Arabidopsis thaliana: one gene and its partner. The protein of the gene in region 1 purifies or fractionates together with the protein of each later gene. This does not show direct contact. Each region holds a gene or a part of one and is shown in the gene's direction. Other genes may lie near its edges. The genes, in order: AT3G13990 and AT3G07660.

Region 1 (11,919 bases):
TAAAAAAAAAGAAGAGTCTTTAATGCGAAGTCGTTTCTAGGTCTGATCTACAGATCCTGGTACCCTAATTTTCCCCTGCCGCAACGGTCTCCTCCTTCCCTTCGCCGTCATTTCACCGGTGGGGTTTTACATCTGAATCTCTGTGGTTGAGAGAAAAGCAATCGACTTTAGTGAGTGTTGAGTTTATATATTGGAAGGTAGAAGTTGAAGTGCGTAACTACTGTTGCAAAAAAAGGTACAAATTATGAGCCTTTTTGGGTTCTCATTTCTTAGATTTGATTATTTTTGGTGGAGGAAGTGACTTGGGTTTCATTCTTCTAAATTCTCAGGTCGAAATTGAAACTCTTTAGTGAGTGATAGAGATGCTGACATGCATAGCTTGTACGAAGCAGCTAAACACCAACAATGGTGGATCTAAGAAACAAGAAGAGGATGAAGAAGAAGAAGACAGAGTTATTGAAACACCCAGGTCTAAGCAGATTAAGTCCCTGACGTCACAGGTAGAGATAAACATTCTTCCTCTGTGTCACTTTCACGAAAAAAAAACACAAATGAGAAAAGGACCATTTTTTGCTCTTGTTGGTTTCTGTTTGGAAGCTAAGAACAAATCAATTTAAGTCCGTGACTTTCAGAATGTTTTTCACTGTGTATTTAATTTTGTGAATAACATGTGATTCTTGTATGTGAATCTTCAGATTAAAGACATGGCAGTAAAAGCATCAGGTGCTTACAAAAGCTGCAAACCGTGTTCTGGGTCGTCTAATCAGAATAAGAACCGAAGCTACGCTGATTCGGATGTTGCTTCGAATTCTGGGAGGTTTCGTTATGCGTACAAGAGAGCGGGGAGTGGAAGCTCAACACCGAAGATTTTGGGGAAGGAAATGGAGTCAAGGTTGAAAGGTTTTTTGAGTGGAGAAGGAACACCTGAATCCATGAGTGGTAGGACAGAGTCTACAGTGTTCATGGAGGAAGAAGATGAGCTCAAGGAATGGGTTGCTCAAGTGGAGCCTGGTGTCCTCATCACATTTGTATCATTGCCTGAGGGAGGGAATGATATGAAGCGGATTCGGTTCAGGTAATTTTTAACTGTTTTGTAGGATTTACACTAAGTAAAAGTTTGGATATTGGACTTAATCAAGATGGTACAATATGTTTCCAATCAGGAATATTGAAGATGATACTCAAATGAACTAATCCATACTGTTTTGAAATTGTTTAATTTGATTTTGGAAGTAGAGATGTGTGGTTCTTGGAGACAAGCAATGTGAGAGTACAGTTGATATTTAGGATATTATTATGTGAGATTTCTGTGTTGGAAACTGTTGCTGCTTTCATTTTTCTTGAATCGATTGAAGTGGTCCCAAACCATTTCTTATAATTATGAGAACTTGTACATCCTTTTTGCCAAGAAAGGTCTTTGAGATGTGGGTTATATTTCGGTAGTTGAATCCGATGGAGAACTTAAATGAATTCCCCAAGGACAATTGTGTGGGGAAGTGTTTGTGAATTTCGTAAAGTTCTTTTTGTATGTGGAACATATAATGAGAGCAAGATGATCTAACTAACTTTCTTCATGGCAAGAGGAACACTTCAGCTCCCTAGGATTGATATTTCTAGATTCTAGTTTTGACAATTTACTGCAGATCCCTTGAGTTTTGTGAACCTAAGACTGTTAACCTGGTAGCTCTTTGGTTCTGTATTGTATATGGTTAAGTCAGCTCCTAATTTGTTGATTTCTTCAAATTTGTATTACTTGCAGCCGTGAAATGTTCGATAAATGGCAAGCTCAAAAGTGGTGGGCGGAGAATTTCGACAAGGTCATGGAATTATACAATGTACAGCAGTTCAATCAGCAGAGCGTCCCACTTCCAACTCCTCCTAGATCTGAAGATGGGGTATATGCACCCTCTTCACTTCTGAACACATGAATCTACTCATCAAAACCTGTCTTTGATACTTTGAGGTCTAACTAGTTTTAATTTGGTATACCAGAGCTCGCGAATTCAGTCTACCAAGAATGGTCCTGCAACTCCACCTCTGAACAAAGAATGCTCTCGAGGAAAAGGCTACGCTTCTTCTGGCTCACTCGCTCACCAACCAACAACCCAAACACAAAGTCGACACCATGATTCATCTGGTCTTGCTACAACACCAAAACTCTCTAGCATAAGTGGGACAAAAACCGAGACATCATCTGTTGATGAGTCTGCAAGAAGTAGCTTCTCAAGGGAAGAAGAAGAAGCAGATCATTCAGGGGAGGAGCTATCTGTAAGTAATGCAAGTGACATTGAAACAGAATGGGTGGAACAGGACGAAGCAGGTGTTTACATCACAATCAGAGCTTTACCAGATGGGACTCGCGAGCTTAGGCGTGTTCGCTTCAGGTAAAGATACATTACTTTCTCTGTTCCTTAGTAAAACCCTTTCAAAAGCAAGCACTTTAACAACATTGTCTTTGTGGTTGTAGCCGAGAGAAGTTTGGGGAAACGAATGCAAGATTGTGGTGGGAGCAGAACAGAGCTCGGATACAACAACAATACTTGTGATGACCGATGACGGTCGAAGGCTCTCTAGAGAAGAATCTGACACACACCAAAACAAAACACTTTTCTTTTATATGTTTTACTTGGAAAAAAGCTACAGAGTGATGGAAATAACTTGGGATTCAGATAATGAATGTGCTTTTTAGTTGGTGGTTGTTAGTACATCTCTTTCTCTTCTTTCTCATCTACATCTATCTATAAAGAGGAGGTATTAGTTTTACTGGATTTTCTTGGTGTTATTTTCTTAAGGTAATGTACTGTATATAGTTTAATACTAAGAAAATTCATATTATTGGATTTGAAAATTACACTTTGTGCACTTTATTACTTTTTCTCTAATTATATTGACCATGATTGGTGCTAATAATTATGGCATGTACTTAAATGTTCTGAATAAGAAATGTATAAAGTAAAAACCAGTTAAATTGCCAGCTAACTTGTATCTCCTTAGAAATTTCCATTTCTCACTTCTCCTTTGACTAATCTTTCTATTGAGTTATATTAAGGGTAAAATAGTCAATTAGGTTTATCCAATTAGTGAATTTGGAACCAATTTTTTCGACGCGTGAGAATAAATCCTAACTTCTTTTTTTTTTTTGTTCTCTTAAAGCCGTTCCCTCTTCTCTGTACTCGAAACCCTAGTAGTTGCTCTATCCGATTTTAGGGTTTAAGAGTCGAATCATTAGCATCTACCTTGATTACGCTGATCTCACTTGGTTTCGCTACTCGATCCTTGAATTTCTTTGTTTTTTGTGTGTTTCGGTTTATTCGATACGTCTTTGATCCGTAATGGTGACTGGGTCCAGAACTAGCGGTAATCGTGGGGTAGGACTCGATGATGAAGCGAAAAAGATGATTCAATCGATTAAGGAAGTTGTGGATAGTCACTCCGATGCTGATATTTACACTGCCTTAAAAGAAGCTAACATGGATGCTAACGAGGCTGTGGAGAAGCTGATTCATCAAGGTTTCTTCTCTCTTCATCTCTTTTTCTGCTTTCCTAGTTTGACGGAAGTTAGGGTTTTACTGTTTGTTCTCTGGTCCGCATTATCTTGATCACGATGAATGCTACAACATCTTGTTTGAGGCGTATGTAGAATGCTGTAGATAGGTTATGCAAATTTCGTTTGATGGAGTTCTGTTGATAATTCGATAGATGGATAACTCTTGTTTTCATTTCGATAATTTGTCAATTCTCTTCAGAATACTTCAATTACTATATACTTGAAATATTATTGGTCTTCTTTTCTTGGCTCTCGTTTCGTTGGGTGACTAATATGTGTGTTATTGTTGCCATCATAGTTTTGGTTCGCTAAAAAGCTTTTGTTTTGTTCAGATCCATTTCACGAGGTGAAGAGAAAAAGAGACAGGAAAAAAGAGGTGAGGTTACATATAACTGTTATGGTATCTTGTTCCCAGTTCTTCTCCTTTTTAACATTTTTGCCAATGCAACCACATTGTAGTTTTTTTGTTTGACTCTCCTTAGTCTTTTCGAAACTGCATTTGAAGAAGGTGACTAGATTTTTCATAATGTTAGTTGTGCTTGTGTGACTATTATATCTCATCGGATGTCTGCTGTGGCAAGCTATATTTTTTTTTTGTTTTGTTTAGTATTTTGTGTGCCTTCTAATTTAATTGATCGTCAAAAAAAATTTCAACTTTTCTAGCCATTCAAATAGTTTGATGAATTTGTAGAGATCATCAAGACACCTCTTGTATAACCTCTGATTTTTAGGGCGTTCCTTTGGTTTCAGGATACAGTATTTGTTGAGCCTGCCAACATAAAGAAACCTCTTGAAAATGTTACCAGTGAAGTGAAAGTTCGTACACAGCCTGAACATAATGTTCGGAGAGGAGGCTACAGTAGGAATTTCTTCCCCAGGAACGCTGCTCAACGAAATGCATCTCCTAGAAATCCTGCTACTGGTAAATCAATTTGATGATGATATACTTGCCAGTTTCTTTCGCATGCTTGTACAGTTGTACTAAAAATCTTTAATTTGTTTTAAGCTGTCTTTTGAATGGTTCGTAAACATAATCTATATAACGGCAGTATCAAATGAACTTGGTTAAATCCAGAAAAATATATGCAGGCAAGCAAAGGAAACGTAGAAGAAATTGTTTTGCGTTGATTTGTTTTTTTTTTTTAATCTTTGTTATTGGCCATTGGCGTGAGGCCTTCAAGTTTTATGTAATGTATTGACCATATTCACCTAGAAATGTTTTTCTGTCTGTTTGTAATTTGTTCGTTTCATGTTAGTGCAGGATCCAACAAAGAGTTTCGCGTTGTTAGGGACAACAGGTCTAATCCAAATGTTGATGAAGAGTTGAAGCATTCTTCTGCCCAGTCCTCTGGATCAAATATTAACAAAGTGGTTGCCACTGTGAACAAATTGGGGTATGTATCATCAGTTGTAATTTATCCTATTGTTCTTATTCTAGCATTTTTATCACTAACTTGCCTTCTTTTATACATGTGAAATAGAATGATTTGTTACTCTTGTAAAAATATTTTAAGGGAGTTAATTTGCTTTAGCTGTACTTTTCCAAAAAATAGTAAAGTAGGACTCTTTTTTTTTTTTTTTTTTTTTGTCAATGAACTCTTTAAGACAATAAGAAGCATAGATTAGTTTTGTGCCATACTGCCATTGGGTTTTGGTAGACGGAGATAGGAGTGTGTATGTTCACTTGGTAGGCATTCCTTTGCTAGCCCAACAAGGACTTCTTGTCTCATAATTTCAAGAAAACTATGCTGAATTTAAATAAGAAAATAAAATTTTCGCTCTATTTTAACTGTTTGCCAGCTCAAGAGGTGGTTTGGGCAATCGTAACTCTTCTGGGGCTCAAGATTCAACTGACGAGTGTAATGCTCCAGCAGATGCCAGGCTCAGACAGGCTGAAATTCGTCCTTTGCATTGTCCTGTCAATAAAGAACTCGGTGGAGTTACTTTGCCATCAACCAATTCAGTTCTTGGTGTATATTCGTCTTCCAAAGATCCAGTTCATGTACCTTCTCCTGTTTCTAGATCATCACCCGTGGGAGCTATTAAACGTGAAGTAAGGGGTGGAGGTTTAGGTGGAAAACCTTCTGAAAATGTTGGTAAAGATCCATCTGTGCCCTCTTTTTCAGGGTCCTCTATTAGAAAAAATGGACCTCCAAATGCACATCGACCATCTTCCCCAACTTCAAAGATTGATCACAGTCGAACTACTGCACGTGAGTCTGTTATGCCCAGTGGAGTGGAAAAGAATAGGTCATATTTGAACAGACAGCGTGGGAATAGAGGAAGCCAATATGCTAGAACACAACAAGTTGGTGGCCATACAAAGGGTAACTTATATGCAAATATTTATTAACCGAATGGATGTTGTGCAATTTCTTATTTGATTTCTGCTAGGCGACACTTTATTTTCTGTGTAGCTTCTGCTTTGAGTAATATAATCCCTTCTTTCAATCTATTGGGAATTCCTGGTGAGAAGCCATTTCCTGTCATGACTTCTGATATTCTTGATCAACCTGTACTTATTGCAGGAGCCTCACAGAACAAGGAGTGGAAGCCTAAATCTAATCAGAAACCTGTTGGACATAACCCTGGAGTAATTGGAACACCTACAAAGTCTCAAGCTCGTCGTCCTGCTGATAATTCCATAAATGTGGAAACAGAAGCCGTCAAGTTGCAGAATAAGCTTTCACATGTTCATATAAGTGAAAGTCAGAATGTCATCATCGCAGATCATATTCGTGTCCCGGAGACTGACCGCTGTCAGCTAACTTTTGGTAGCTTTGTTCAAGAGTTTAATTCCTCAAGGAATTCAGAATCTGCTTTCGAAGAATCACACTCTTCAGAAGAAGTTAGAGAATCTGATCGTAGGTAAGTTCTGACAGTTGGTGGGTTTTTTTTTGTACATTTGAATATAGTTTGAGATCACATGCATCTTCCCCAATTAACTTGGTGATATTGTTGACAGTTCGCCAGTTACTTGTCCTGAGGCTTCAGCAGATGGTCCGGGCGTTCTGCCTATCACTATTGATGATCATGTCAGAGTTTCTAGATCTGACTCACCCGTCTCGGCAGTATCTGAGCCACAGTTACCCGAACAGAAAGAAACTCATAGATCTGACAATTTGGATGCGTACTCGGGGATTGAATTACTCAATAGGAATGGTCCACCTTATACTCCTTTGGAGTTTGAACAGCAGCAAGATCCTCCGGAGTTGCAAAAATTTTCTGTAAGGGTTCTTGCAATTTTAACTCTTAAAAATCAAGGAAAGATAAATTCATTCAAAAATGACATGCTCTTCCTTTCCAGCAGGCTTATGACAATCATGGTAGTTATGAATTTCCGTACTTTAGTCCTGCAATGGATGAAACTGTACGAGTTCAAGGATTACCATCTCCACACGAGGTAATTTATGTTTCTGTTGTTAGTTGTTACTAGTTTGCCAGCATGAGTTGATGCGTAAGAGTCTAGTTAGCTCCTGTTTGAGCAGTTGGTTTGTGCATGTGTCATAGTTATCTTTTTTGTTTTATTAACTAGGAAAAACTGATCAAGTATCCTTTTGATAATGCAGCAGGGATTAAGTGCTCACATGTTAAATAATGCCCCACCATCCACTATTCCCATGTTACAGCAACAACAGCAGGCATCAATGCAACAGATGTATCCGCAGGTCCATGTTTCGCATTTTCCCAATCTCATGCCTTATCGTCAATTCCTTTCCCCAGTCTATGTTCCCCAAATGCCCATGCCAGGCTACTCAGGTAACCCAGCAGCATATGCACACCCTTCAAATGGCAATAGCTATGTGCTGATGCCTGGAGGCGGTTCTCATCTCGGTTCAAATGGTGTCAAGTATGGAATCCATCAGCAATATAAACCAGTTCCAACTGGTGGACCTGCGGGTTTTGGGACTTACAACAATCCTAATGGGTATCCAACTAATCCTCCCAATGTAGTTGGAAACGCTACGGGACTTGAAGATCCATCTCGCATGATAAATAAACATGGAAATATTTACGTTCCAAATCCTCAGGTAATGATAATTGATAAGTATGGTAGTTGTGCCCGAACTTTATGTTTTTACCAATTATTTTTTATTCTGATTCATGTCTCCTTATCTAACACTACAGGCTGAGACTTCTGAGATATGGATGCAAAATCCAAGAGATCTTTCAAGCCTTCAGTCTCCATATTACAACGTAGCTGGACAATCGCCTCATGGTGCTTATTTATCATCCCATACAGCACACCAATCGTTCAACCCAACTGCGCAATCATCTCACATGCAGTTCCAGGGTCTCTTCCACCCGTCACAGCCTGGTACGATGGCGAATCCGCACCACATGGGACCTGGCCTCAGTGGTAATGTTGGAGTCGGTGTCGTTCCCTCTCCTCCTCCGTCTCAAATTGGTACCTATCAGCAATCACAACTTGGTCATCCGAATTGGCCATCAAACTTCTGAAGAAAATCTAACCTTTGTCTTCTTGTCTAATGGATTATATAATAGCCAAAAGCAAATATTTTGATTCTCCTTATGAAACGCCAAACTCTGTTTTAATTAATCTTTATTTATTCAATGCATAAAATGTTCCCAGCTCTCAACAATTTGTCTATAAATGCTTTGTCTGCTTCCATAGCCCCTCATTATTTACAGCTGCAGGTATGGTGTTATTCTCCCATGGCGTCAAATTGTCAAGGTAAAGTCCTGTCCGTGCTTCTTAATCATTTACTGCTATTATAGTTTCGGTCGACTTCAAGAACCCTACAATGCATGTGAAGGTTTTTAAGTGTGGAACCCTGTGAGTGAAACATTGTTGCTTGGTGCTAGTGTTTCCCATTGTCAATGTTCTACAAGTATTAAAGAGAATTGTGTGTTTTGTTTAGCTGTTCAATGTTCTTCTTTGAGTTATGTGTCTTCTCTCTCCATTTCCTCATATTCCTTATTAAATTCTTGATAGAGAATCATTAGTTGTTGAGCTTGACCTAACTTTCCTCTAGCCTTTAGAATAGATTACAAATATTCTTAATCGGAGAACTAGTTGAAGCTCAGGCCTATAGGTTTTGATTATCTCCTTGATTACTTTAGTTTTTAGGTGTCATAGCACACTGTGTCATCATAACAAAAGAATCTAATTGATCGTTTTGTTGACATATTTAGAAAAGTAAATATACTTAGTTTGGGGAGGTGGGTCTTAATCAAGGAGCCAACTAGAGTTTACTTAGAGCCTAATTGGTACGGACTTTGATTCCTTCTCTGATTTAATAGGCCTCCTAAGTCCTACCTTATTGAGAAATGATTACTCTCTACGAATCTCTTGAGACTCCATGATGTTGAGTCACTAATACTCTATTAATTTGTCCCATTTTGACCGGTCTAGGTTTTATTAAACGTAATTTCACTATTGATAACACCTACCGCACAAGTAAGGATTGGCTTGAGATTCTCTGAAAATTCTATAAATTTGTTCTTTGTGATTTAAAATGGTACTGAAAATGATTGAGGAGATTTTGTAATTAAAAAAGTAATTTTTGATTGAGACTATAGCTAGAGTAGAGTAGAGGCTTAGGGTTCATACTTCATAACTTAAGATAACCCGCATGTTAGAGGGATAATGATGTGAAATGTTAGCTCTTTTTGACCCTATTCTATATATCTCGTAGAAAGATTATAAGAAAATAAGAAGAATTAGCAAAATTTAATTGAAAATCAATTATGTTTACTTATCCTCAATAAGTCAAAAGGTCCCATGATCGGTTTTAGAGATTTACAAGCATGACCCCTAACTCCTTACTACTTCTGTTAAATCAAGGCTGGTTTGTTAATATTGAATCATAAAGATTTGAATTTCTCCCTACAAATCATCTAAATTTTGCGTAAATTCGACACGTAATTTTTATAGTAGGAAATTGTTTTCTATGAACGATGAAAAGTTTGAAACGTTGTATGTCACTGTGAACCTGACATGTCAAATCAGAGATAATGGAGTGATTTATAGATATCCATACACTGACTGATATATACACCAACAACATTGTTGTATGGTATCATAATAGTAAGTATATATTCTTGTTTGTTGGGCTGTTAGAGGGAAAATATTAAAATCAAACGTTTCTCATAAAGAGTTTGGACGAGTGTGCTCTTTAGCTATTTGATTGAAATGGAATCTGCTTTTGCTATTGCATGCACCAACTCAATTATGATGTGATCGGAATCTTTTGTCTTTCTTTTGTTTATCATATCCACACATGCGTGGAATCCCCTGCAACTTCTGTTCATTTGTACATAGTAGCTCTTTTGATCTTTTCTCTTTATTTATCTCTTTGTTTCTGCCTATGGTGTGCGTTATAAGATGATATCATATGTATATAAAAAAAAAACCATTTGTTTTTTGTTGCGCAACAGCATATATGATATGCGATATATTTACAAAACTTGAGAGATTGTAAGATTGACATGGACGATTTTTATACAACATGTAAAATTTACCCAATGAAATGTAGTAATTATTAAGACTTAACATTACTTGAAGTCTTGAACTATAACGCACTTTTCATTTAAATCATTTTGATATAAGGTTCCAAATATATATATATACCCATTCACGGTTCCACACACACAGAGGATCGATATTAATTGTAGAAGATGGGTCCGTTTAATGAAGAGCTCCACGAATGTGAAGTTTCGTGGAATCGAAGGGGCGTTCATTAAAAATAACATGCCTGTGTTGTGTGCATTCAATAGTCGAATTTCCCATATTCCTTTTTTTTATAGAAAAAACTAGTTACTTTACAAAAATAACTCGTTTCAATTGTTTTTCAATTGATTCATGAACATATGTACTATAGTAAAAAGAAATGGAGTTTCCCTTAGGCCACGGGAGTAATCATTTTGCAAATGAGCGCCATCATCTTTTTAACATGAATTCTTCTTCCTGGCACACATTCTCTAATTAAAGTATTAAACATTGTATTATTCAGACATAAATCTCAAACCCAAATTTAATTTGGCAAGGGAGATTTACATTTTAAATTTACTAAAATACTTTAGATCTCCTGTCTATATTACACAAACGACACCACTCAAAAAAAAAAAAACAATATAACTAGGCACCGCATGCTTATGCATTATTAGCATCATTCTATTATTGGAATTTCTCTTAAGATTTAAGAACACCATTAAAATAAAAATATGAGATAACGAAACTATATAATTTTCCAAAGATCTTGCGGCTAAAAAGTCATTAGTATTTATATTCCTTCTTTGTGTATCAAAAGCGCTTTCCGTTAGCTAAACCGTATAAGCAATTAGCTTTACATATCATTACATGTGGAGACTAATTATACTAATTTTGTCCCATGGTGTGCGTAAGAATATTTAATTTGAAACTTACTTCGGAGAATTTGATATTGCGTTTAATTAAATATTAAGACATGTTTTTTTTCTTCAATATACAATTGTTCAAAAGAATTGTAGACATACGTTCATCATCTCAATGATTCAAAATTAAAATGAAGCTGTAAATGTAAGAGATCAAACCTGAAAAGACAGTATAGAATGTTAACATAATGTAATCATCATAACTGAGTTAAATTTTTGAATTAGAAACTTTTTTGTTTTTTAATAAAATATTTCATTCAAATAATGCTATGTTATTGTTGTTTGAAAAAAAAAAAAACTTGAGTATAGAATAAAGATGAAAGTTTGAAGTTGTTAAGAAAAACAAAAAGATGATAATCGATATTATAACTGTCATGGGTCAGTTTTACATGGTAAAAGAAAGCGACGTTCACAGTAATTCTTCATAATTAAAACTCCTCTAGTTGCTAATAAAGCCTGATTTTGTTAATCAGATAGATGATATTGTCTTAATCCCGCTGTCTATGTCTAATCATTTCCATTATACTGTTGTCTCCCTGCTGTTTTGCCCTCCTTCCTTGCAATTTTGTCACAAACCTATATATAACACATTTTGTAAATTTATAATCATAAATATATTGTTTGATTATTTGATTTGATTTCGTCTACAGTTAACCTCATTTATTTTAGATTCAAATCTAAGTGAATTTGATTAAAGACAACTTACAGAAATTAATATCATGTAAAAGTTAGTTTCTTCTTATGACATATCCTAAAACAAACGCTATCTTTGACTAATTTATAAGATAATTTGTGTTGTTTGAAGATTTCAGTATGTCAAAAAAATTAACGCTATTTTAACACACTATATAACCATGCCCCAAAAGTCCTCGACATTATTCTCTTATACCATTTTCTTAGTATATATAGATTGTTACATACATTGGACTAAACTGAAATTTGAGCTTTAAGTTCGAGTGATGGTCACATAGCTAAGATGTAAACTAGCTATATAG
Region 2 (12,485 bases), 2.2 Mb from region 1:
CTACAATTAGATAATTGACAAAGCAAACTATAAGCAGATGGAGTGAAAATTTTCCCACAAAGAGAGAGAGATGAGCTGTTTTGTTACTTACCTTTAGAAATCGGCTGTACTTTGATATGCTTGTTTCGCATGAGTCCAGTATGAACTGCAATGCGTCTTCCTCGATTTCAGGATATTTTAGATCATTCTTTGTTGATGTCTTATTTGAAGCAGCTTTCGCCATCTGAAATGGATAATAATTGATAAGAGATGTATTATGAATTTGGGAAGAATTGGATGGTAAAAAGGGTCAAGATGGAGTTGCCAAACCTCTTCAAAGTTGTTTCTCATATCTGGAGGGCTCACCACAAGATAAGCATATGCCATTAGCTCCATTGGCCAACCCGTTATCCTTACGGGAAAGCATTGAGGTCTGCCAGAGAAAAGTTAACACAAACAATCAAAACAAAACTCAAGTTAATCAAGAGAGATCTACAAATTTGAGAGGGGAACATGGATGGTGGAGAATGGAATACGTCGATAATCCGTGTTTCTTTAAAGCATCCAGCTTTTCCTCGTAACACTTATCGTTTTTCCTAAGTGATAATGCTAGTTCTACTGAATCACTAGGATTGGTTCCTTCTCTGGGAACAAACCCATAAGATAACAATAGCTCTCCGTTAGATTTATTCCCATAGGATATGAAAACCTGCACAATGTCATGTTACTGAAACATATCAGAGACTTCAGACAACATTGGTTCCACTTTGGACTGACTTACTGAAGCGCTAAAAGGCAAACTGTGTAAACGGGACTTCTTTGTGTTATACACTGACTTATATTAAACTTCAATGCTCGCTCAGGTTATCTGAATGAATTTATCTTATTTACCTGCTCACCTGGTTGATATGGTCGATCTGTTGTAAAGACAACTCCTTTTGAAGATTTATCATAATCCAGGAACGTCTCAACCTTTCCAAGCAGATTTTGAAATATTGATTACCATAAGTCAATCATGCTTTCTGATTAGGAGAATCTAGGAGCTAATTGGTCATAAAGATAAGTAGAAGTACCTCACAATTATGATTAAGCATATCTGCCCATGGAACTAAGGCAAATCTTCCATCCATAGAAGGCAACCGCACCTGTGTTAGAGAAGCTTAAGTCTGAATTGCAGAGACAAGCACGCAGCACACGGAAGGAAAGAGAAACGAAATAATGCAATATTTTGGTTGTGAGTGGTCATTGTTCAAACAATAAATTGTTGGAGACAGCTATATTATGCAGAAAGTCATGCTAAGATTAAAGAACAAGTCTGTTGTTTCAAATTCAAGACATCTAGATTTACATCAATTATCAAGATAATGATTGCTTATGATACAGTAGTTCTTACCAACCGTGAGAATAGGATTCCAAAAGACCACTTAAATGTCTCATCATTGAAAACCTGCAACCAAGAAATAGCACACTCATATACATGTGGACAAAACAAATTTAAGCTCAGATAATAAAATAGAACCAACACTAGTTGTAATTACAGAAGTGCATCTTATTACATGTCCAAATAGTAAGCTGTAGCAAAATGGGCGTATACCAGTTACCTCTTTAGGGAAAAGTTGAGGGTGTTTGGAAAATATCCTGCTTCTTAGATCTTCATAACTGAGGAAAAGAAAAAGGAAAAAGACATGAGCAGTGTCTTGCAAGACATAATCATCAACCCCCTAGCCTACAAACAATAAGTACTAGTGACTGCATCAATGATTTCCAGCAGTTGAGAGAAAGAAAGAAAGAAAGAACAATATCTCACGTTCCAACAACATTGGTGATTCTTTCAATTGCCCGTTCTCGAATCTGAGAAGCTTCCAAGTACATATCAAGCTCTGTCCGAGTCCTGAAATAGTACAAAAAGGCTGTAGGGAGTAAGAAACTGAGACCAAAGTTCAGCTACAGAAACAAGTACAAAACTTACCAGTATAAAAGCGAGTAAGGTTGTCGGGGAAGAGCTGAGATATAGTTAAACCATCTTGAGCTTTTCTGAAGACTTGCTTCACTTATAAGATAAGTGGCGAGCAAAGGCCAATCTGGAACATCATAACGTTTCATCACTTCACCAGCTTCTGCGTTGGTCCATTCCTAAAACCCAATCTCCGATATTAGATATTCACATTCATGAAAGCCAGATACTTTAACCTTGCATTGATCTGAACAAGAGGTGAGGGATTGCTTGCAAGTGAGATCAAGGAATATAAGATTAGATTCTTTGATTCCGAGTGAAATTAGGAGTGTGAACTTACGGAATCAGCACTGATGACGAGAGAAGGAGGAACGAAGAGCAATTTCTCTCCTTTTCTGAGATTCTGTGAAGCGACGAGGCCTCGCTCACCGATGTCGACTCTATCAATAGCCATTTTCTGCGGAGGGAGACCTGAATCAGAGAGCCAGTTCTGAAGAGAAGTAGCGTTCTCAAGTGAATCAATCTCGCATCCCCATGATATCTTCGGAGCTTCCTCCATGGATTGTATTGTAGTCTCACCGGCCGAAACTGAGCAGTGGATTCCGGGACGGCATCGGGACAGCGGAAGCGGTGAGAAAGAGAGGGTGATGTTTTGATTACGAAGTTTGTGAAGTGGAGAGTAAGCTGGGAGTAGAGTAGACTGCAAGAGGCAAGCTTTTGCCATCGGAAAAGAGAAAACGATGAAGCGAGAAGACGAATGGTTGCACTTAGCAGAGGGGGCATGACAAAATTAAAAGATAATGTTTTTAAATTCGAACCAAAATTAGTTTGTGGATTTACGGTTTGGTTCGGTTTTGAGTTTAATTTGATGCTAAGGAAAAAAAATCTAAGCTGCCTATGGATAATGATATTAATATTCAAAACTTTGTTATGCGCTAATGCTAATGGGAAAAAGCCTAGTGATTAGATTTTGATAGAATCAGTTGATGAGATTTATTGAAAAATTGTTTCCATAACAGCAATATCTGGACGGTTTATTAGAATTTAGAAGCAATAGGGACCCAAAACACAGGAAAATTAATGAAAAAATTGAAGATTTGTTTATGTAAATGACAATCCCTAGAGTTGCTAATTGCTATTAATAATGCTAAAAGCGTACTGGACCTGGTAAATATTTGGACAACCATATAACTCATTATGTTTTTGAAATCCAATTTTTAAAATATTTTAATTTGGTATTGTAAAAGAAATTACCAAAGACAAAAAAAATAAACTTATTCAGTAAATTAAATATATATGTAATTATCATGGTGGGGATAATAATAACGTATTATAATTATTTGATAATTTAAATATTTACATAGAAAACAATAATACGTTACTGAGATGTAAAAATATAAATAATAATATGCTAATCATTAAATCGCTCATCTCATAATGATATGGGTAACATCGTTTGAGATAGTTGAGATTTAATATGATCAAGTTACAATCAAAACTTATCTTCTTCTTATTTTCTTAAATACTATGTTTTATGTTTGTCATTATTATGTAGTGTAAATATTCAGAAGATATCCTAAATCCTAATTTAAATATATTTGTGGACAAAAAAAGATTGTGACAACAATTTGGTTATCATTATTTACCAAAGATTCAGATTAAAACAAACAAAAAAACTCAATATTAAAAAGCTACAAAGGAATGCAAAACAAAATTGAAAAAAGAAAAGAGAGCCCTACGCTTCCAAAATCACAGTGCGTATTATTTTGCTCATTCCTTTCTCTCGCCCCCTTCCTCTTTTTTTTTTTTTTTTCTTGTTCCTTCTTCTTTCTTCTTCTCCTTCGTCGACCCAAACTAGTTTCAAATCCCATCCTCTCGTACTGATTTATCACTCGCCTCTTCGTATACATATATAGGTACTCAGACCTCTTTTGGTCTAGGTCCAGATTTCGATTCCTGTTAAAATATCAGAAGCGAGATTTTACGTTTGATAGAAGAGAGGATGGTCGGCAGTGGCGCTAGGGTTTCGATTTCGGCTACTACTCGGAAGATGATTCAGAACATTAAGGAGACCACTGCTGGGAACTATAGCGAGGATGAGATTATCGCAATGCTTCATGAATGTAACATGGATCCTGATGAGACCGCTCAACGCTTACTTCTTCAGGGTATAATCTCGACCTTCTCTGCACTTTTTTCTTTACCTAATTTCTCTTCTTTGATTGGATCGAGATTGTATTTTTCGATTTGGGGTTTTCTCCTGTAACTTAGGTTTTAGCATCTGATTTCTCTGCTCTTTGATTTTTTTTTTTCAGATTTTATCTGAATTCACTATCATCGGTTTCTTCGCCTATTAAGTTTTAAGCTGTCTCTAGTTGTTTATGTGATATTGTGTTGTAACCTCCTTTTCACAAAAAAAGGTTCACGAATTGATTTGGAATATACGGGAATCAATTACTTACACTAGTGATGTGTGAAACAAAGAGAATTAGCTTCTAACTAGAATTTTTCTGAGTGGTTTGTCTAGGAATAATACTTTTGCTAGGTATGAGTTCTAAACAAAGACTGCTGCGTTGTAGATGAATCTAGTGCTTAGAAATCCACATTTTCATCATCTTACCAAAACAAATTGTTATGAAAATAGGATTCTTTGGAGATGTGGTATTGCATCAGGCTTTTCGAGTGCTTCATGTAACCTGCTTGTGTACCATGTAATTTAGAGATGGTTGCTAGGATATGTTTTAAGTTTTTTTTTGTTGTGTTTTTCTATACAATCTTATGTGCTAATGCAAAAAATTGTTTATGACTCTGCAGATCCATTCCATGAGGTTAAAAAAAAGCGTGATAAGAGGAAAGAGGTATGGGGTTTTTGCAGTTCTTTTGGTCTCTTCATGGGTTTCTGTGTAAAGGATGTCTATTAAACCGCATATATTTGGGACATGGGTATTGACAATGTTATTGAAATGGTACAGAACATCAACAACAAGGATTCTGCTGAATCACAATGGAGATCTGGTGGAGGGGGCCGTGGTAGCAGGGGTGGTCGGATGAATTTCTCTTCTCGTCATGCATCAAATGGTAAATAACAATCTGATGAACTCAATGTTTTACAATCATATGAACTCGCATCTCTTAATATGCCACATTAGTTGTCTCTGGAAGGTGGTTACTTGCGGTCACAATACTTTTTGTTATATTTACTCAGTATTGATTCTTTCCTGATTTTCCTCCTAGGACATACTAGTTGTGTTCATGATTGGCTTTTAGTATGTTTAGCGAAAGAATGTGAAAGAGAAAGTTCCCTAGCGGCAGTCTGTAACATGTTGCTTTTTAATTTTTCTGTAATTGATGAACTGTGTGGTGAATGTTTACTTCTGATCAGATGTTGCTGGTGCAAAGAATTCTTTCAAAAAAGAAAACGGTCCAAAGCAGGTTATTGATCCATCAACTTCAACCTCTCAAGAGATAAAAACGAAAGATATAGCTCTGGTCTCAAGGTGATTGTCATCCTATAGTACTAATTCCTTTTATGTATCATTCTCCTTGATTCTATGTGACTTATAGGTGGATGTATAACACCCTCAGTTAAAGATGGGTGGGCCTTTTTCCAGCATGGATATACTCTATAGATGATCCTTCTCATGATTTTTGTTTTGTGTTTTTTGGTTTACAGCCATTCTGCTGTGATGGATAAAAGTACTGTTGGTCCGAAATCAGGAAGCTCTGATGTTCGCCAGTCTTCCAACCTACCAGCTGGTTCAGGTCAACTTAAAGCTGGCCGATCTTCAGTGCCCTCAAACAACATTGATGGTGCACCGTCTTCTGTGGAATTAAGCAAAAATCGTGTAGCAGTTGGCTCTAGGGTTGTGCATACTGAGCAGAAGGCAGTTGATTCTCTGCCACTCCCTCGTCCATCCTCTTCTGAAGTTCGATTCACATCTTCAAATCCCAAATCAGAGCAAACAGCACCTGAACAGCACATTGGAGAAAGCAAGTCCCATACCAGATCCCGTGGGGTTGGGAAGACTGCCGTGAATGATACTTATGGTTCAAGGCCTGCTTCATCTCATAGCAACAGCACGGGTAGTCGGCCTTCTTCTAACTACAGTAATCGGTCACATCAGACTGTCGGTCCTCAAAGAGGTAACAGTGATACATTTATTTTTGCTGTACTGGATTTCTACTATCTGTGATAAGAAACATATAGTACATATTCCAGATGATAAAATGTGCATACAGCGGGACTTGCTTTTACAGGAAACACTTTTTGTCTGCTGCAGTTCTTCATTATTGTATTTCTTTTGTTTTTTTATTTGCACAAGACTGGAATCTTCTGACATCTTTATGTCAATGATACTTGTTTCTAGGTGCTGGTTCCATTAAGGAATGGAAACCGAAGCCAGTAGTGAACCATAACACTACCCAGGGCTCTGGTGCATCATCTACAGGTGAAACTCTTGCAGTTCCTACTGAAGCCAGTGACAAATCAGTTGAAGATGCTACCCCTTCGGCAGAAGCCACATCCAGATTGCAGAGACAGCTTGAAGACTTGCAGATTCAACGTCAGCATGTTATTATTCCAAACCATATTCTTGTTCCAGAGGCTGAACGAACCAAGTTAAGCTTTGGAAGCTTTGATGCTGACTTTTCTATTACGTCTAGCACAGTAGCCTTTCCTCAGAGTGAAAAGAGATCTGCACCTCTTTCTCATAATTCGCAGGAAGTTGAAGAAAGTTTTGCAGAGGAGGAATTTAGGTATCTACCTTTCTCTACTTTGTCAATTATTGTTGATGTTGTTATGCGAATAAATACTCTAAATTTAGAGTGAAATGAGCTAGAAAGAAGTTGTGAATAATAGATTACTGATGGAAATAGGTAAGAGAAATTTCCTAGTGTAGTCGCTTGTTTTGCTTAGTAGCATAGCCGAAACTTCCAAAGCACTACGGTGTATATCAGGTTCTAGGTCAACAAAATATATATCTTTTTGTCATGCTGTGTAGGGTGTCAGTTGAACTGATAGTGTCAATAGTTAAGTGGGTTTTGTTCATAGAAACAACTCTTTGTCCTGCTTGGCTCTTAAGTTCCAAACAGAAAGTAAAACATTTTGTGCAGTCACTGATTTTCTGGAAGTCATGATAACCTTTACATTATGAACACTTATCCGAACACGAAACCCAAATTTTTTCACTTCTAGTTATTGAACTTTATGTCTTGAAATATAACTATATTTATATGACCAGTCCCTAAGCGAAACTTTTTTTATGCATTCAGGCACCCAACTGTCCATTCGATTGAAAAAGAAGAGGACGGTAATGTTTACTCCGAGTCACCTTCACAAGTTCCAGATAATATGGCTGGTGAAGGTAATACTGCAACAAATACAGCTCCAGAGTATGATGTCACCAAGCAGGAGAATATGTTGGAGTCCGAAAGCAATCAAAACTCGTTTGACCAGGTTCCAAGTAATATTATTGGGATTGTTCCTCCAGCTCCTGGGAACCAGCATCCACAATTTGAGACTTCTGACCCTCAAGCACGTGATGCCCTTCGTCTTCCCAGTTTTATGGTATGCCCTTAATTACATTAAGTTGTCAAGTTTTCGAATGGTTGATCTACTTAAACCATTAATTATACTTAGCTTATACTCTTCATTGATCAGTAACATTTTGCTCATTATATAATTTTTAGGCATTGTCACCTCTAATATGTCTTCGTAATGAACTATACTTTTGTTGTTTGAAGGGCCAACAACCTTTTGATACGGCGAGCTACTATGCTCAGTTCTACCGCTCAGGTCCTGACAGTGATGGCCGTGTTTCTCCCTTCGTTTCCCCAGGGGTTGCCTCCAAATTTAATGGGATTACAGTATTGCCTCCGCATTCATCTCAAACCATGCAAGAGGTTAGTGTAGTTTTTGGGGGTTAACCTTTTATTTTATTTTATAATTCACACCTTCACGATTTTGATCTAATTTAAGATGGTTTTGAGACTTTTTCGTTTAATTCAATCTTCCAACAGTAGCATCATCAATCAAATAGTCAAATTTTCATGTCAGCTACTTGGATCTAAGTCTCATTTTTTCTTCTTGATAAAATTGAAGTAAACCTATGGTTTCTAATTGGACTGCATATTTATATGTTCAGAAGCCCTATAACACGTTTGAAAGATAAAAATATAGCTGTTATTATTACTTTTCTGGTCTGAAATGCTTGAACATGTTGATTTGTAGGGTGGAAATAACTTGGTCCTGTCTACTGCTAGTCCACCACCACTGGTAACTCAAGCTGCTGGACTAATGCAGAGCTCTATACCTGTCACGCAGCAGCCTGTTCCTGTTTTCCGCCCTCCGGGCTTACATATGTCGCATTATCCACCAAACTACGTGCCATATGGATACTTCTCCCCATTCTATTTACCTCCCCCTACAATGCACCAATACTTAAGCAATGGTGCATATGCTCAGCAACCTCAGGCAAGCGGTGTATATCCTCCACCTCCTGGAACTGCAACAGGAGGCAAATACACACTCCCTCATTACAAGCCTGGGACTAATACAGGAAACATGACTCATGTCGGTATTACTGGTGGGTATGGACCAACATATGGGTCTTTCCCAGCAGGATATAATCCCACCTCTGCTGCATCGGCCGGGAATTCGACTTCCAATGAGGATCTCAACTCATTGCAGTTGAAAGAAAACAACGGCTACAGTACAACAGGGCAACAGGTACATATTCCCTCTCCCTCCCAAAACCAACTCAGTTGAAAGTTTAGTTCCCTTTCCTGATTAATTTATAATTGTGGGGTCTCTGCAGAGTGAAGCATTACCTGTATGGATTACTGGACCAGGACGAGATGTGCCAAGCTCTTTCTATGGTTTACAGCACCATGGGCAACACGTGACTTATGCTCCAGCACAAGCTGGTCACGTCGCATTCCCAGGTATGTACCATCCGGGACAAGCAGTAACAGCAACAGGAGTCCATCATCCGCTTTTACAACAGTCTCAAGGTGTGGCTGGAGCTGAAATGGTTGCACCTGCGCCTAACGTTTTCCAACAGCCTCAGCAAACACAGATGAATTGGCCAAGTAATTACTGAAACAGGAAGTATAAAGGAGAAAAAGATTTTGAAGATTCAACAAGTTTCAAATTCCAGAGAAATCAGGAAAGATATATGGGTGCGGGTTTTTGTTGACTTGCGTGTGTGTGTGTGTGCCATCTAACAAATTACCAAAGAGATGAAGCTATGAAGTTGAAGGCTTAAGCATGAAGGAGATTTACAGAGAGAATGATCATAAGGGTAGGGAAAGGTATTGTATGAAACCAGTGTTTTGGTGTTTTCTATATCTTTTTTTTTTTCTTTTGATTTAGCAAATTTTTTTCTTTCTTAGCTTTTAAGAGGTCTTTTTTAGCTCTCTTTTTAAGTTTCTGAGCTAAGACAAGAACTTTGCTACCTGAGTCTGTATCTGAAGACTCTTCCTCTCTTCCTTCTTTTCTTAGCCTTTGGTCAATGTTTTCAAATCCGAGTCAGCAATCAAATTGGACAAATTTCTTGCTCGCGAATCAACTTTCTCTGAATGTTTATTCCTCAATTCGAAAATTAAGGCTTGTGAATATGAGTCTTCAAGAAAATTCACATTAAGTTGTAAAATCCGAAATACTCCAAATATAAATGTTAAAAACTTTTGGTCCATATGTCATCTTGAAAACTACTGTTTTGCATCTCAATCACTTTTGATAAGTGTTCAAAATTGACATAGTAGAAGCTAAGTTTAAGTAAACAGCGATAAAGCGCCTAAACTCACATAAATGGACTCCCCTTTATAATCTGACATTTAAATAATAAAGTTCAGATGTTTTGCATTGCCTCATTGTTGGATCAACCTCTTGAAGTTACTACAAACCAAAATCTCGTTAAACTTGAACTAGTACTAGTCGGTTGTTACAGAACGAGACTTAGGTTAAGTGGTACCACATAACTTTCTTTGTCTATAGAAGAATGTGGATAATGTCTTTAATTTACAAGAATGCCGAGTACAAAACAGAAAAACATTTATGAGTATACAAACAAATACAAAGGCATATACAACAATCACATATTGTTTAAATTACTCTAAATCTCCTTCCCTGCCTTTTTAACTACCAAGAGAAGAACAAAATTCATGGAACCCTGATCAGTGTGAGACGCCTGAAGAAGAAGAAGAAGAAACCGGAGTTTGGACAAGGAAAGTCAGAGAATAATCCCTCTGGTCAAGAATGAAGCTTCTGAGGCCAAAAAAAACGATTGAATCCCAAGAATGAATGATTGCTTACAAGAGTCAGTCTTGAAATCTGTTCATGCTACAGTAGTCTTGTTTTGTTACTAACCCACAATTTTCCAAGTTGCTCACTTGAAACTGCCCATAAGTCAAAACCTTTCTTGTTCGATTCTTCGCCATGTATATATATCTATGTACCTTTCAAAAGGAGTCTTCAATAACTTCTGGTTGGGGTGAGAGGGTCGTAATCATAAGCTTCACCAGCTTTGACAAATCGCCCCTTTACACGCCGTCTCACATCAGCTCTTGCTTTGCGGGAAGCATACCTCACTCTCTTATCAAACCTGTTTCCAGAAAAAAGAAGCCAGAGTCACATTAGGAAAATCCTGCACTCACTTCAATGATGCTCATGTATTTGCAGTTTCAGACTACTACTTACTTGCGAGCCTTCTTCTTCTCCTTGTAACGCATAACTGCGTTATTACGGGTTACTGAATGTGAGCAGGCATTGTTATCCTGTAATGTTGGAGGATACCATGGTGGCTCCCCCGAGAGCTGTATGGAAGATGATGCACCACATTCTTGGAAATCTCCAGCACTACTTTCTCCAGTGACTCCAGAGAAGGATATGTTCGAATGTGCTGGCTTCGATGCGAAGCAAATTATTGGCTCAGTTTTCGAACTCATGAACGAATCATTACTGCCTGCTGGCTGCACCGAATTCCCTCCCTGGATTGAGCAAAAACAAGAGAGCATTATTAGAATCACACAGAGATGCATCCAATTTGATAAATCTAAGAAGAAAGGGTAATGGATAAAAACCTCTGGAGCTGTTTGGTGCTTATGGAAAAGGCTATCGATTCCACCATGCCCGAATAGCTCTTCAGAGGGGTTAAAGGCGGTACCAAAGAGTTCTTCATAGTTCTCAAGTGCCATGTCAACTTCATCCATACCAAGGTTCCCGTAGAAGTCATCTTCACACATTCCAACATCCTTTAAACCAAAACAAACAACAACTCTGAATTTAGTAAAGAAATGATAGATATGTATATCCATGGATGCAAAAGTAATAACATATTGAGAAAAAAAGTTACCTTAGCAGAAGATGATTTTCCTTGTGGTACAGAACTGGTTTCAGGAATTGAAGAGGATCCAACCAAGACATCTTTCTTATCCTCATTACAAGTTTTCTTGTCGGTAGGACCATCATCGTCTATATTCATCATACCCAGTTCTTGTTCACAAATAGATTGTCCAGCTAAGTCCAAACAGAAAGACCAAATGGAAGCGAGTTCTGAGCTGGAAGGGCAACCCGAATAGCAACTTATGGTTTGCCTCTTATGCTGCTGCGGCGAAGTAGAAGAAGACGAAGAATTGTTGTTGTTGCTGTTGTTGTGGCCAGACCAGTCACAGTTTTGACAGAGTGAAACCCTTTCTTCAACACACCTGACAGTAGCAGGCTGAGCATTGCATCTCTCGCAGACAAGTGTCCGAGAATGTCGTTTGGACAATGCATTAGCGGAATGAACACTCCGGTCACAGGAGAGACACAAACAAGCTGCATCGGATCGACAGTACACCATAGATCTTTGTTCACCACAGAAGTCACACATGTAACCCATCTTCCTTGGCTCTGACCAAATCAACTTTCTGCTGTCCAAAAAAGTAAACAAATTATTAGATGAAAAAGAGAGAGACTTTTGGTTCAAAAAAGCAAGCCTTGAAGAAGAAATAGATGGAATCTTTCTGAATATAGGTAGTAATTTCTAAAAAAAGGTTGTAGGAGATTAATAACCAAAGGAGAAGGATAAAAAAGGGAAAGGAAACCTACTTTCATGAGATTTTACTCAATACAGAGCTTTTATTATAAACAAGAGTCAGAGACCAAAACCTACAAATGGATATTACTGAAAATCGAAATAAATTAATAAAACAACAACAACTCAAGCTTCAAAGTATAAACCCCAGATCAGTAAATCTAGAGATTTTGTTTGACTTACTAGTTCAAATGGAACTGAATCGAAAAAATCTGAATTTCCAATAAATAACGAAAACTTTTGGATCAATCCCAATCATCATCATCCGAACAAGTTTTAAAACCCCAAATCAAAAGATCCAATTCAACAAAAATCAAAACCAACCCTTCATCGATATACAATGAATAATCAATCACTAACACCAATTATACAACAGATAGCAAGAAAATAAGAACACACTTGGGATTATTAAAATCAGAAAAGAAAAGACAGAGGGAGAAGAGAAACAAACAACTCACGTAAAGAAGATCCTTCTT

The links.
Region 2: the proteins of AT3G13990 (region 1) and AT3G07660 fractionate together in Arabidopsis thaliana (co-fractionation; one large-scale study listed by BioGRID). This does not show direct contact.

The regions. Positions count from the first base shown.
Region 1 is NC_003074.8:4,621,797-4,633,715, reverse strand, and holds AT3G13990 (dentin sialophosphoprotein, putative (DUF1296)), read left to right. Parts: upstream 1-3,102; 5' UTR 3,103-3,332; coding exon 3,333-3,510; intron 3,511-3,879; coding exon 3,880-3,923; intron 3,924-4,297; coding exon 4,298-4,469; intron 4,470-4,808; coding exon 4,809-4,941; intron 4,942-5,347; coding exon 5,348-5,874; intron 5,875-6,075; coding exon 6,076-6,415; intron 6,416-6,512; coding exon 6,513-6,774; intron 6,775-6,854; coding exon 6,855-6,950; intron 6,951-7,116; coding exon 7,117-7,578; intron 7,579-7,675; coding exon 7,676-8,008; 3' UTR 8,009-8,333; downstream 8,334-11,919. Other genes in the region: ATBRXL2 (DZC (Disease resistance/zinc finger/chromosome condensation-like region) domain containing protein), read left to right, coding at 363-500, 696-1,075, 1,760-1,895, 1,993-2,384, 2,468-2,546.
Region 2 is NC_003074.8:2,441,823-2,454,307, reverse strand, and holds AT3G07660 (flocculation protein (DUF1296)), read left to right. Parts: upstream 1-3,648; 5' UTR 3,649-3,935; coding exon 3,936-4,101; intron 4,102-4,747; coding exon 4,748-4,791; intron 4,792-4,905; coding exon 4,906-5,011; intron 5,012-5,315; coding exon 5,316-5,430; intron 5,431-5,606; coding exon 5,607-6,076; intron 6,077-6,300; coding exon 6,301-6,688; intron 6,689-7,204; coding exon 7,205-7,499; intron 7,500-7,675; coding exon 7,676-7,834; intron 7,835-8,162; coding exon 8,163-8,660; intron 8,661-8,748; coding exon 8,749-9,033; 3' UTR 9,034-9,620; downstream 9,621-12,485. Other genes in the region: AT3G07670 (Rubisco methyltransferase family protein), read right to left, coding at 92-223, 310-412, 516-688, 871-951, 1,053-1,124, 1,373-1,426, 1,581-1,638, 1,787-1,870 and 2 more; COL9 (CONSTANS-like 9), read right to left, coding at 10,407-10,536, 10,632-10,921, 11,015-11,185, 11,287-11,814.